Linked DNA regions of Kluyveromyces lactis. The protein of the gene in region 1 interacts with the protein of each later gene in a pairwise test. Links are inferred from orthologs where the notes say so. Each region holds a gene or a part of one and is shown in the gene's direction. Other genes may lie near its edges. The genes, in order: RAD23, RPT3 and PTH2.

What was found.
Region 2: the proteins of RAD23 (region 1) and RPT3 interact in binary tests that used the Saccharomyces cerevisiae proteins (3 or more experiments, as listed by UniProt). The link is inferred for Kluyveromyces lactis from reciprocal best matches to the Saccharomyces cerevisiae genes RAD23 and RPT3.
Region 3: the proteins of RAD23 (region 1) and PTH2 interact in binary tests that used the Saccharomyces cerevisiae proteins (3 or more experiments, as listed by UniProt). The link is inferred for Kluyveromyces lactis from reciprocal best matches to the Saccharomyces cerevisiae genes RAD23 and PTH2.

Annotation. Positions count from the first base shown.
Region 1 is NC_006041.1:1,974,072-1,977,208, reverse strand, and holds RAD23 (Rad23p), read left to right. Parts: upstream 1-1,422; coding exon 1,423-2,574; downstream 2,575-3,137. Other genes in the region: ANP1 (Anp1p), read left to right, coding at 1-847; putative acireductone synthase UTR4, read right to left, coding at 3,022-3,137. UniProt on the Saccharomyces cerevisiae protein: Plays a central role both in proteasomal degradation of misfolded proteins and DNA repair.
Region 2 is NC_006039.1:570,844-574,123, forward strand, and holds RPT3 (proteasome regulatory particle base subunit RPT3), read left to right. Parts: upstream 1-1,375; coding exon 1,376-2,662; downstream 2,663-3,280. Other genes in the region: SHE9 (She9p), read left to right, coding at 1-967; SMP3 (glycosylphosphatidylinositol-alpha 1,2 mannosyltransferase), read right to left, coding at 2,752-3,280. UniProt on the Saccharomyces cerevisiae protein: The 26S proteasome is involved in the ATP-dependent degradation of ubiquitinated proteins. The regulatory (or ATPase) complex confers ATP dependency and substrate specificity to the 26S complex.
Region 3 is NC_006041.1:1,781,799-1,784,509, forward strand, and holds PTH2 (aminoacyl-tRNA hydrolase), read left to right. Parts: upstream 1-1,465; coding exon 1,466-2,110; downstream 2,111-2,711. Other genes in the region: anthranilate synthase TRP2, read left to right, coding at 1-1,077; protein phosphatase regulator SHP1, read right to left, coding at 2,253-2,711. UniProt on the Saccharomyces cerevisiae protein: The natural substrate for this enzyme may be peptidyl-tRNAs which drop off the ribosome during protein synthesis.

The DNA of each region.
Region 1 (3,137 bases):
AGGCCCTAGAAGAAAATCCATGGCCAGAGCTAGAAATTGGCTTGGGTCAGCGGCTTTGAAGCCGTATCATTCTTACGTGTACTGGAGAGATGTCGACGTTCAAACTATACCGAATACTATTTTGGAAGATTTAATGCATCATGATAAAGACGTCATTGTTCCAAACGTCTGGAGACCTCTACCCGATTGGTTGGGAAATATACAACCATATGATTTGAACTCATGGGTTGAATCTGAGGGTGGATTACAATTAGCTGATTCTTTGGATGAAGATGCTTGTATCGTAGAAGGGTACCCGGAATACGCTACATGGAGAACACATTTGGCCTACATGAGAGACCCAAGCGGCGATCCCGAGGTCGAGATGGAACTAGACGGAATTGGTGGTGTTTCCATCTTATCTAAAGCTAAGGTCTTTAGAACAGGTTCTCATTTCCCTGCGTTCTCTTTCGAGAAACATGCTGAAACTGAAGCCTTTGGTAAATTATCACGTAGAATGCAATACAGTGTTGTCGGTCTACCTCATTATGTGATCTGGCACATTTACGAACCTTCAAGTGACGATTTGAAACACATGGCCTGGATGGCCGAGGAAGAGAAACGTCGGGTTGAAGAGCAAAAAATTCAAGAGTTCTATGCTAGAATTTGGGATATTGGTTTCGATGACGTGAGAGATGAGTGGGAGCTAGAAAGGTTACAAATTTTGAAGAACATTGATCCGAATGTCCTAGATAGGAAGATTCAAGTGGACTGGTCAGATGATGATGAAGCAGATGATGGTTCAAGGAACGGAGGAAATAATCAAGATTCACATGAAGTACCACTGGACTTTGATCCTGCTCATTAATAATTTTCTGTTTAGGCAGTGAAGAGTAAAGAAGATTATAAAACCCACAAATACATTCTTCACTAACGAGATATTTTTTAAAAAGATATCTTAACCATCTAATTTCAATTCTCATCGCTTCCATCCCCTATTATTATTCAATTATTAGGCAGACTGTAACACGTTGGAGTATCTAGTTGTACAATATGCACCTTAGATCATTATCGAGGTTTTTATCAATAGACTTTTTTTTACATTTACGTTTAAATGCATTATATACTAATATTGTACTTGCAATAATCTGTTCATTTTGTTTACTTCAAACCATATTACTACTGGTAACTATTACAGGCAAGCAAATACTGAAAACACGTTATCAAGCTGCATTAAGCTGTAATTTTCAGCGTATTCCGGAGTTCTGCATCTTGTCAGATACCTTCAGTTTTTTTTTTTGTCAACATCGAAAATGAAAGTTGAGAACAGTGAAAGAAATTGAAATTAATGCCAAATCAACTTGAATCTGATGGCTGGGTGGCAAAGAAGATAAAGTCAAGAAAACAACCGTTGAGACAAAGTCCAAGAAAATCACAAGCATAATGCTTATTAATTTTAAAGATTTCAAAAAGGAAAAACTACCTATTGAATTGGCGGATGATGCCACCATTTCACACGCCAAGGAATTGATCGCTGAACAAAAACAGTGCGATGCATCTCAAATAAAGTTGATCTACGCAGGTAAGATACTCCAGGATCCTAAGACCGTATCAGGATGCAATCTTAAGGAAGGGGATCAGGTTATATTCATGATTAGCAAAACTAAGAAAAAGGCTGATGTTAAGGTAACTGAATCCACAACTGAACCCCAAGATGAATCTCAAGCCACTGCTTCTGCAGAAACTTCTGCAGTTGCAAATGCACCTGCGGAAGCTACAACCACTGGTACAAGAACAGGTACTACTGCAGTTACACAAGAAGAAGGGACGACTGATGCTTCGTTTGTCACTGGTTCTCAACGTAACGAGACTGTGAACAGAATCATGGAAATGGGTTATGATCGTGAACAAGTAGAACGTGCGCTTAGAGCAGCATTCAACAACCCTGACCGTGCAGTGGAGTATTTGCTTATGGGTATTCCTGAAGCCAGTGAGCCATCGCAGCAACAAGCTGAAGCTGTAACTAGTGAAGCTGGGGCGAATGCTAATTCTGAAGTTGCAACAGACGTGCCATCACAATTCACTGAACATGAAGACAATTTATTTGCACAAGCAGAAGCCAATAATGGCGAGCAAGGTCATGAATCCGCTGCTGGTTTAGGTGGAGAAGAAATGGGCACAATCGGATTGACTATGGAGGACATTACACAACTTCGTGACGTTGTATCTGGGCGTCCAGAGGCTTTAATGCCACTTTTCGAGAGTCTAAGCACGCGTTACCCACATCTCCGTGAGACCATGCTGCAAGATCCACAAAGGTTTATCTCTTTGCTATTAGAAGCTGTTGGCGGTTCCCTAACCGATTCTTTGGGTGAAAATCTGGGAGATGACATAGCAGAAGGTGATCTAGGTGATTTCGGGGGACAAACTCAAGGCGCGCCTCCCAATGTTACTATCTCAGCAGAAGATGAAGAAGCTATCAATAGACTTTGCGAGTTGGGTTTTGAGAGGACCTTGGTGGTGCAAATCTACTTCGCATGTGACAAAAACGAAGAAATTGCTGCCAACATGCTATTCAACAATTACGCTGATTGAATGTAGTATGATTTTTCAATAAACCATCGTCTCTTTAGGCATGTAGGGAAAGAAGAATATGTTCAAAATAGAAAACAAAAATAATTATCTCTACCAAATTTGTTTAATAATATGGAATATGCGTACTCATATCTCCAGCATGTAGTGTTTGCCAATCCAAGTATGACCTCTATACCGTCAGATTTTCCTACTACAGCGAAGGCATCCCACATATTCATCTTCCAATTTTTGCACACATACGCACTCATAATGAGCAGTTATACTTAACCAACCTTAGTCAATCTGCAACAGACGGAGCGTGGTATGTTCGATCTCTTACTTCCAACTTCAAGTAGGATTTGTGTTACAATCAATCAGATATCCCCTTCATTAATTTTTTTAAATTTATTCATCATTACACTATATCCTTAGTCCCAATTCAGAGAACCAGTGTACCTTAGACATGTCTTATATAGATGAGAAGTTATTAAGCGCTTTATATTTTTCTGCATTAGATACCGGGTTGTTTCCAGGCCTCAATGCCAAGATGGTGCTGATGCCTACATCCAAAGCTGCGTCTAACT
Region 2 (3,280 bases), on another chromosome or scaffold:
GGAAAATGACAGTAACGATTCAAAATTGAACTATAACGCTGAAGGTAAGATCAAGGACCTACCTAGCGAAAGAGAACGACATCGTAAAAAATGGGCTCGCAAAATGGAACTGTATTTAGATTCATTGCAAGAGACCATATTCACAGCCACCAGAGCTTTGAATGACGTAACAGGATATTCCAGTATTCAGAAGTTAAGAAATACAATTTCCTCATTGGAAGAAGAGCTGAAGGACACTAAAAAACTTGTCAATGAAGCAAAGGAAAAGTACGAGACAGCTATAAAAGCAAGATCGGGATCGCAAAAGGAAGTTAATGAATTGTTGCAAAGAAAAAATTCGTGGTCTCCTACTGACCTTGATAGATTTACCCAACTATACAGAGATGACGCATTGAACTCTCAAACGGAAGAACAATCTAAGGTAAAACTCGCAGAACTTGAGGCTAAGGAGGAGGAACTTTCAACGAATTTGTACCGAGCCATTCTTACAAGGTATCACGAAGAACAAATCTGGTCAGATAAGATCAGAAGAACTTCGACATGGGGTACATTTATTTTGATGGGAGTAAATATACTCTTCTTCGTAATATTTCAATTACTGCTAGAACCTTGGAAGAGAAGGAGGTTAGTCGGTTCTTTCGAAGATAAGGTAAAAATGGCGCTTGATGATCATCAAAAGGAACAAAACTTGGCAATTTCAGAAATGTCAAATACCATAGACAATTTGATGGATAAAAAACTTCAAGAAACTCAAACAAAACCCCATCAGGAGGAAGTTCCCAAAATCCTCACATTTTCAAATATAGTTGCTGACTTTAAGATATGGTGTTCTTTACAGTGGACAATATACTATAATAAGTTGGTAACTCTTTTACCGGAGACAACCGTCACTTTCACCAAGAGTTGTTTCTACTCGTACTCCACACTACTTTTATCATTAGGTATACTATTAGGACACTGCATTTGAGTATACACAGGTGCATTGATATACGTAGTGGGTAGCCTATCATGTTAACATTCTAAACAGTGTAGGCCCTTCGAAAAAGTTGTCTAAGAACCGAGATCACGTGACTGCAAAATGGGTGGCAAAATACCCAAAATGAGATTTAACTTTTTAATGAAATAATGCAATTATTAAACTGAACGATTTGACATAACCACTTTAGTGTGGAAGGGGATACGTTTATAAATATATGTAGGTACAAACACATATATCCGTGTAAGTAGTAAGACTGACCCCTTAGTTTATTGGAATTGCAGTATATTATTGGAACTTTTCTGTGTTTTCGGATACTTTCGTCTTTATTTGATCATAGTCTAAAGGGAGTTAGAATATTTACACACTACGGGAAAGACGAATTAAGATCAAAACATTATGGAAGAACTAGGTATTAGTACTCCTCAACCTGTTCTTAGTGTAGAATTTGGTGCAAAGAATAATGGTCTATCATATGGTTCCCTACTTGCTCAGCTAAATAATGATTCATTTGCCGTGGCGAATGGTAATTCAGATGTCTACTTGAAACTAAAGAAGCTGGAGAAAGAATATGAATTATTGACATTACAAGAAGATTATATCAAAGATGAACAGCGCCATTTGAAGAGGGAATTACTCAGAGCCCAAGAGGAAGTGAAAAGAATCCAATCTGTGCCACTTGTCATTGGTCAATTTTTGGAACCGATTGACGAAAACACCGGTATCGTCTCCTCGACCACAGGTATGAGTTATGTCGTAAGGATTCTATCGACTCTAGATAGGGAACTGTTAAAACCATCAACTTCAGTTGCATTACATCGTCACTCTAATGCCCTTGTGGATATTTTACCACCTGATTCAGATTCTAGCATATCAATCATGGCCGCAAATGAAAAGCCAGATGTCACCTATGCCGATGTTGGTGGGTTAGACATGCAGAAGCAAGAAATAAGAGAAGCTGTTGAACTACCCTTGGTACAGGCGGATTTGTATCAACAGATTGGTATTGACCCACCAAGAGGGGTTTTACTTTATGGTCCTCCTGGTACTGGCAAAACTATGTTAGTTAAGGCCGTGGCAAACGCGACAGAAGCCGCATTCATCAGAGTGAACGGGTCAGAGTTTGTGCATAAATACTTAGGTGAAGGGCCAAGAATGGTTAGAGATGTTTTCAGATTGGCAAGAGAAAACTCACCATCAATTATTTTCATCGATGAAGTGGATTCCATCGCTACAAAACGTTTCGATGCTCAGACAGGGTCTGATCGTGAAGTCCAACGTATATTGATTGAGTTACTTACTCAAATGGATGGTTTTGATCAGTCAACAAATGTTAAAGTTATAATGGCAACCAATCGTGCTGATACTCTAGATCCAGCTTTGTTAAGACCTGGTAGATTAGACAGAAAGATCGAATTCCCTTCATTAAGGGACAGGCGTGAACGTCGTTTAATTTTTGGTACTATAGCTGCAAAGATGTCTTTAGCTCCTGAAGCAGATTTAGATTCTTTGATCATCAGAAATGATCCTTTATCTGGTGCTTTGATTGCCGCCATTATGCAAGAAGCTGGTCTAAGAGCTGTCAGAAAGAACAGATACGTCATCCTACAAAGCGATTTGGAGGAAGCGTATGCTTCACAAGTCAAGTCAGGTAGCGATGTTGATAAATTCGACTTCTATAAATAATTTAATTTAATTGTGTTTGACTCAATACATATCGGTAAATGCAGTGTATATTGGAAAGTATTCCTAATAGAAAATAAGCCAGTAATATTTCAAACTATTAGACTTACGTTGTATAGCCTTAATCCTGGCTTTATGGTAGTCCAGTCTGGCATATCAATGTGATCTAAATCGAGATGCTGCTGCGTCTCCCATTCTGTGATGAACTTCCATTGCGACTGAAGGGGGGTCAATTTATCGAGAACAGTATTTGGCATGATTAGCTGAATTGAGTCTGTGTTCTCCGAAAATTTTGTAAGAGTTTTATTTAGTAACTCAATGTCACTACCTTTTAAATCAACAACATGATTTGATACAACATGCCAAGGTATATTATCGACAAACTCTACATTTTCCTTAAAGTTCGTGGTAGAAACCGTCAGATCAGGATTGGAATACATCCACGTCGGAGGAGAATATGTCTTCCACCAAATATGAACAGGGAATTCTTCACCTGAGAAGTAGGATATGAGAGGTATTATTCCTGCTTGATGGAATACTCCCATTATCAATCCCATGACAATATTAAAGACGAGCCATGAAGTTATGATGGTTTCTGCTTGAAAGAAAGTATCGAAATTG
Region 3 (2,711 bases), about 190 kb from region 1:
CCAGAATCTGCTTTGATGCTATACGATACCATTGTTGCATTTGATCATGTTTTCCAAAGGTTCCAGATCATAACTAATATCAATGTGAAGACGGTCTCATCTTTGGAACAAGGTTACGAAGATGCATCTGAGATTATCAAACGCATTATCGCCATCTTGAAGGATGAATCTAGTCCGATACCATTACCTGAACAACCATCAATCAAATTGAACCAGACTTTCACATCAAACATTGGTCAAGAAGGATACGAACAGCACGTGAGAGATTTGAAAGAACATATCAAGAAGGGTGATATCATCCAATGTGTTCCATCTCAACGTGTCGCTAGACCAACTTCACTTCACCCATTCAATATCTACAAACACTTGCGTACTGTGAATCCCTCGCCATACTTATTCTATATCGATTATTTGGATTTCCAAATCATTGGTGCTTCACCTGAATTGTTATGCCAAGTTGATGCCAAAAACGAAGTTATCACTCATCCCATTGCTGGTACAGTCAGAAGGGGTCAGACTCCAGAAGAAGATGACAGATTAGCGGAAGAGTTGAGAAATTCTACTAAGGACAGAGCAGAACATGTGATGTTAGTTGATCTAGCCCGTAATGATGTGAACAGGGTCTGTGATCCAACCACCACTTCCGTGGATGAGTTACTTTCAGTGCAAAAGTTCTCTCACGTCCAACATCTTGTCTCTCAAGTCAGTGGTACACTAAGGAAGGATCAAAACAGATTTGATGCTCTAAGGTCTATTTTCCCTGCAGGAACAGTTTCTGGTGCTCCTAAGGTCAAGGCCATGGAATTGATCGGAGAACTGGAAGGTGAAAAACGGGGTGTTTACGCTGGTGCCGTTGGACACTGGTCATATGACGGAAAATCCATGGACACATGCATTGCCTTGAGAACAATGGTTTATAAAGACGGTATAGCCTATTTGCAAGCTGGTGGTGGTATCATATTTGATTCTGACCCATATGATGAGTACGTAGAAACAATGAACAAAATGAAAGCTAACCACAATACTATTCTACAAGCAGAGCAAATTTGGGCTGAGAAAGTTGGCACTCAAGACTAGCGCTGTATATGTCATATCCACTAATAGTTGAACCTGAACCTTTCCCGTTTCGTTCACAGTATGTATTCTATCGTGTATTCACATTAGACTTGTTATAGAATTGTAAAAAGGTAGCTTTAAGTGTACCATGGATGCACATATGAATGGATTAATGCCACTGGATAAATATACGAAAGGTAGGAGTAGGAATCTGGTGGTCTAAAGTACCAGCAGACGTCCTACTTCATACGTTTCTATCCAGCAGTTGCATATAATCTTTTCTTTAGGAAAATTTTACATTAAACCGATATATTCCAAGTGATGACAAGGAGATCACTGGCAGAGCATATTAAAGCAGAGGAAACTGACACTATCACTACAGCTACATCAAACCATAACTGCTATCCAGATGGCACCATCATCGTTGAATTTAGCAGTGTTGTTCACGCTGTCAGCATTATCTCTGACAACTGGATATTATCTTGGACAGATAACACCATCAAGGAAGGATGAGATACAAGAATTGTTGAAACAAGCGAAGATTAAGGCTGAGCGAGATGAGCAAGCGTATGCCAGTGAACATGACGATGGTGATGAGGACGAGGATGAAGACGAATCTGAGGATGAAGATGAAGATGAAGATGGCATTGCAGTAGATTCCATATGCCTAAATGACATTCCTGGTGAAGTAAGGATGGCCTTGGTTATCAGGCAAGATTTGGGAATGACTAAAGGGAAAATCGCTGCTCAATGTTGTCATGCTGCATTAGCCTGTTTTAGGCTTATTGCGTGTGATCCAAGTAGAACTTCATATAATCCGGAGATGACTCACAGATGGTTGGCAAGAGGTCAAGCAAAGATTACTTTAAAATGTCCAGATAAGGAAACAATGGATGAGCTCTTCGCTAAGGCTATTGCATTAGGAGTTAACTCATACGTTGTTCATGATGCTGGTAGAACACAAATTGCAGCGGGAAGTGCTACTGTTTTAGGTTTGGGACCTGCTCCGAAAGCAGTCCTTGACCAAATTACTGGTGATCTCAAGCTTTACTGATACTTCGATCTCTCAAATCGTTGGAATAATCATCGACTGCATAAACAACTCTATCCTGAAAATATAAGGATTTAGGTTGTCTCCGTATATTTAAACTTGTACATATGTAATAATCTTTGTAAAATTATACTATATTTAAGATTTATACCCATCTTTGGACCACCACTGCATTGCATAGGTCTTGATCTTTCAAAGTGGAGTCAAATTCGTCAATGGGTTTTACGGGAAATGCATGGCTTAGTGTAAATGGGCGCATTTCTGCTGTGTTAGCTTTAACATGCTGGTACAAGAATCTGATGGTATCTGTAGAGTTACAACGTAACACCTCCCTCTTCCCAGAAGCATATCTGATCTGTACACTAGTGTCTCCCTTTAGCTCGTCATCTGGCGATTTTTCTTTGATTTCAGTCCCTACTGGAGTAGATTCGGCAGGCGATGCTGATTGAGAGTTTACTGCATCACCAGGAATGGGTGAGCCCAATCTCTTACCTGTTCCTTGGAAGCCACTCACTTTTCTCTTAGGTGGAACGTAAGGCTCTTCCAACTTTTTATAGACCGTGACATCGACCTCTTGTCCGAATTCGACGTCCAATAACTGCAA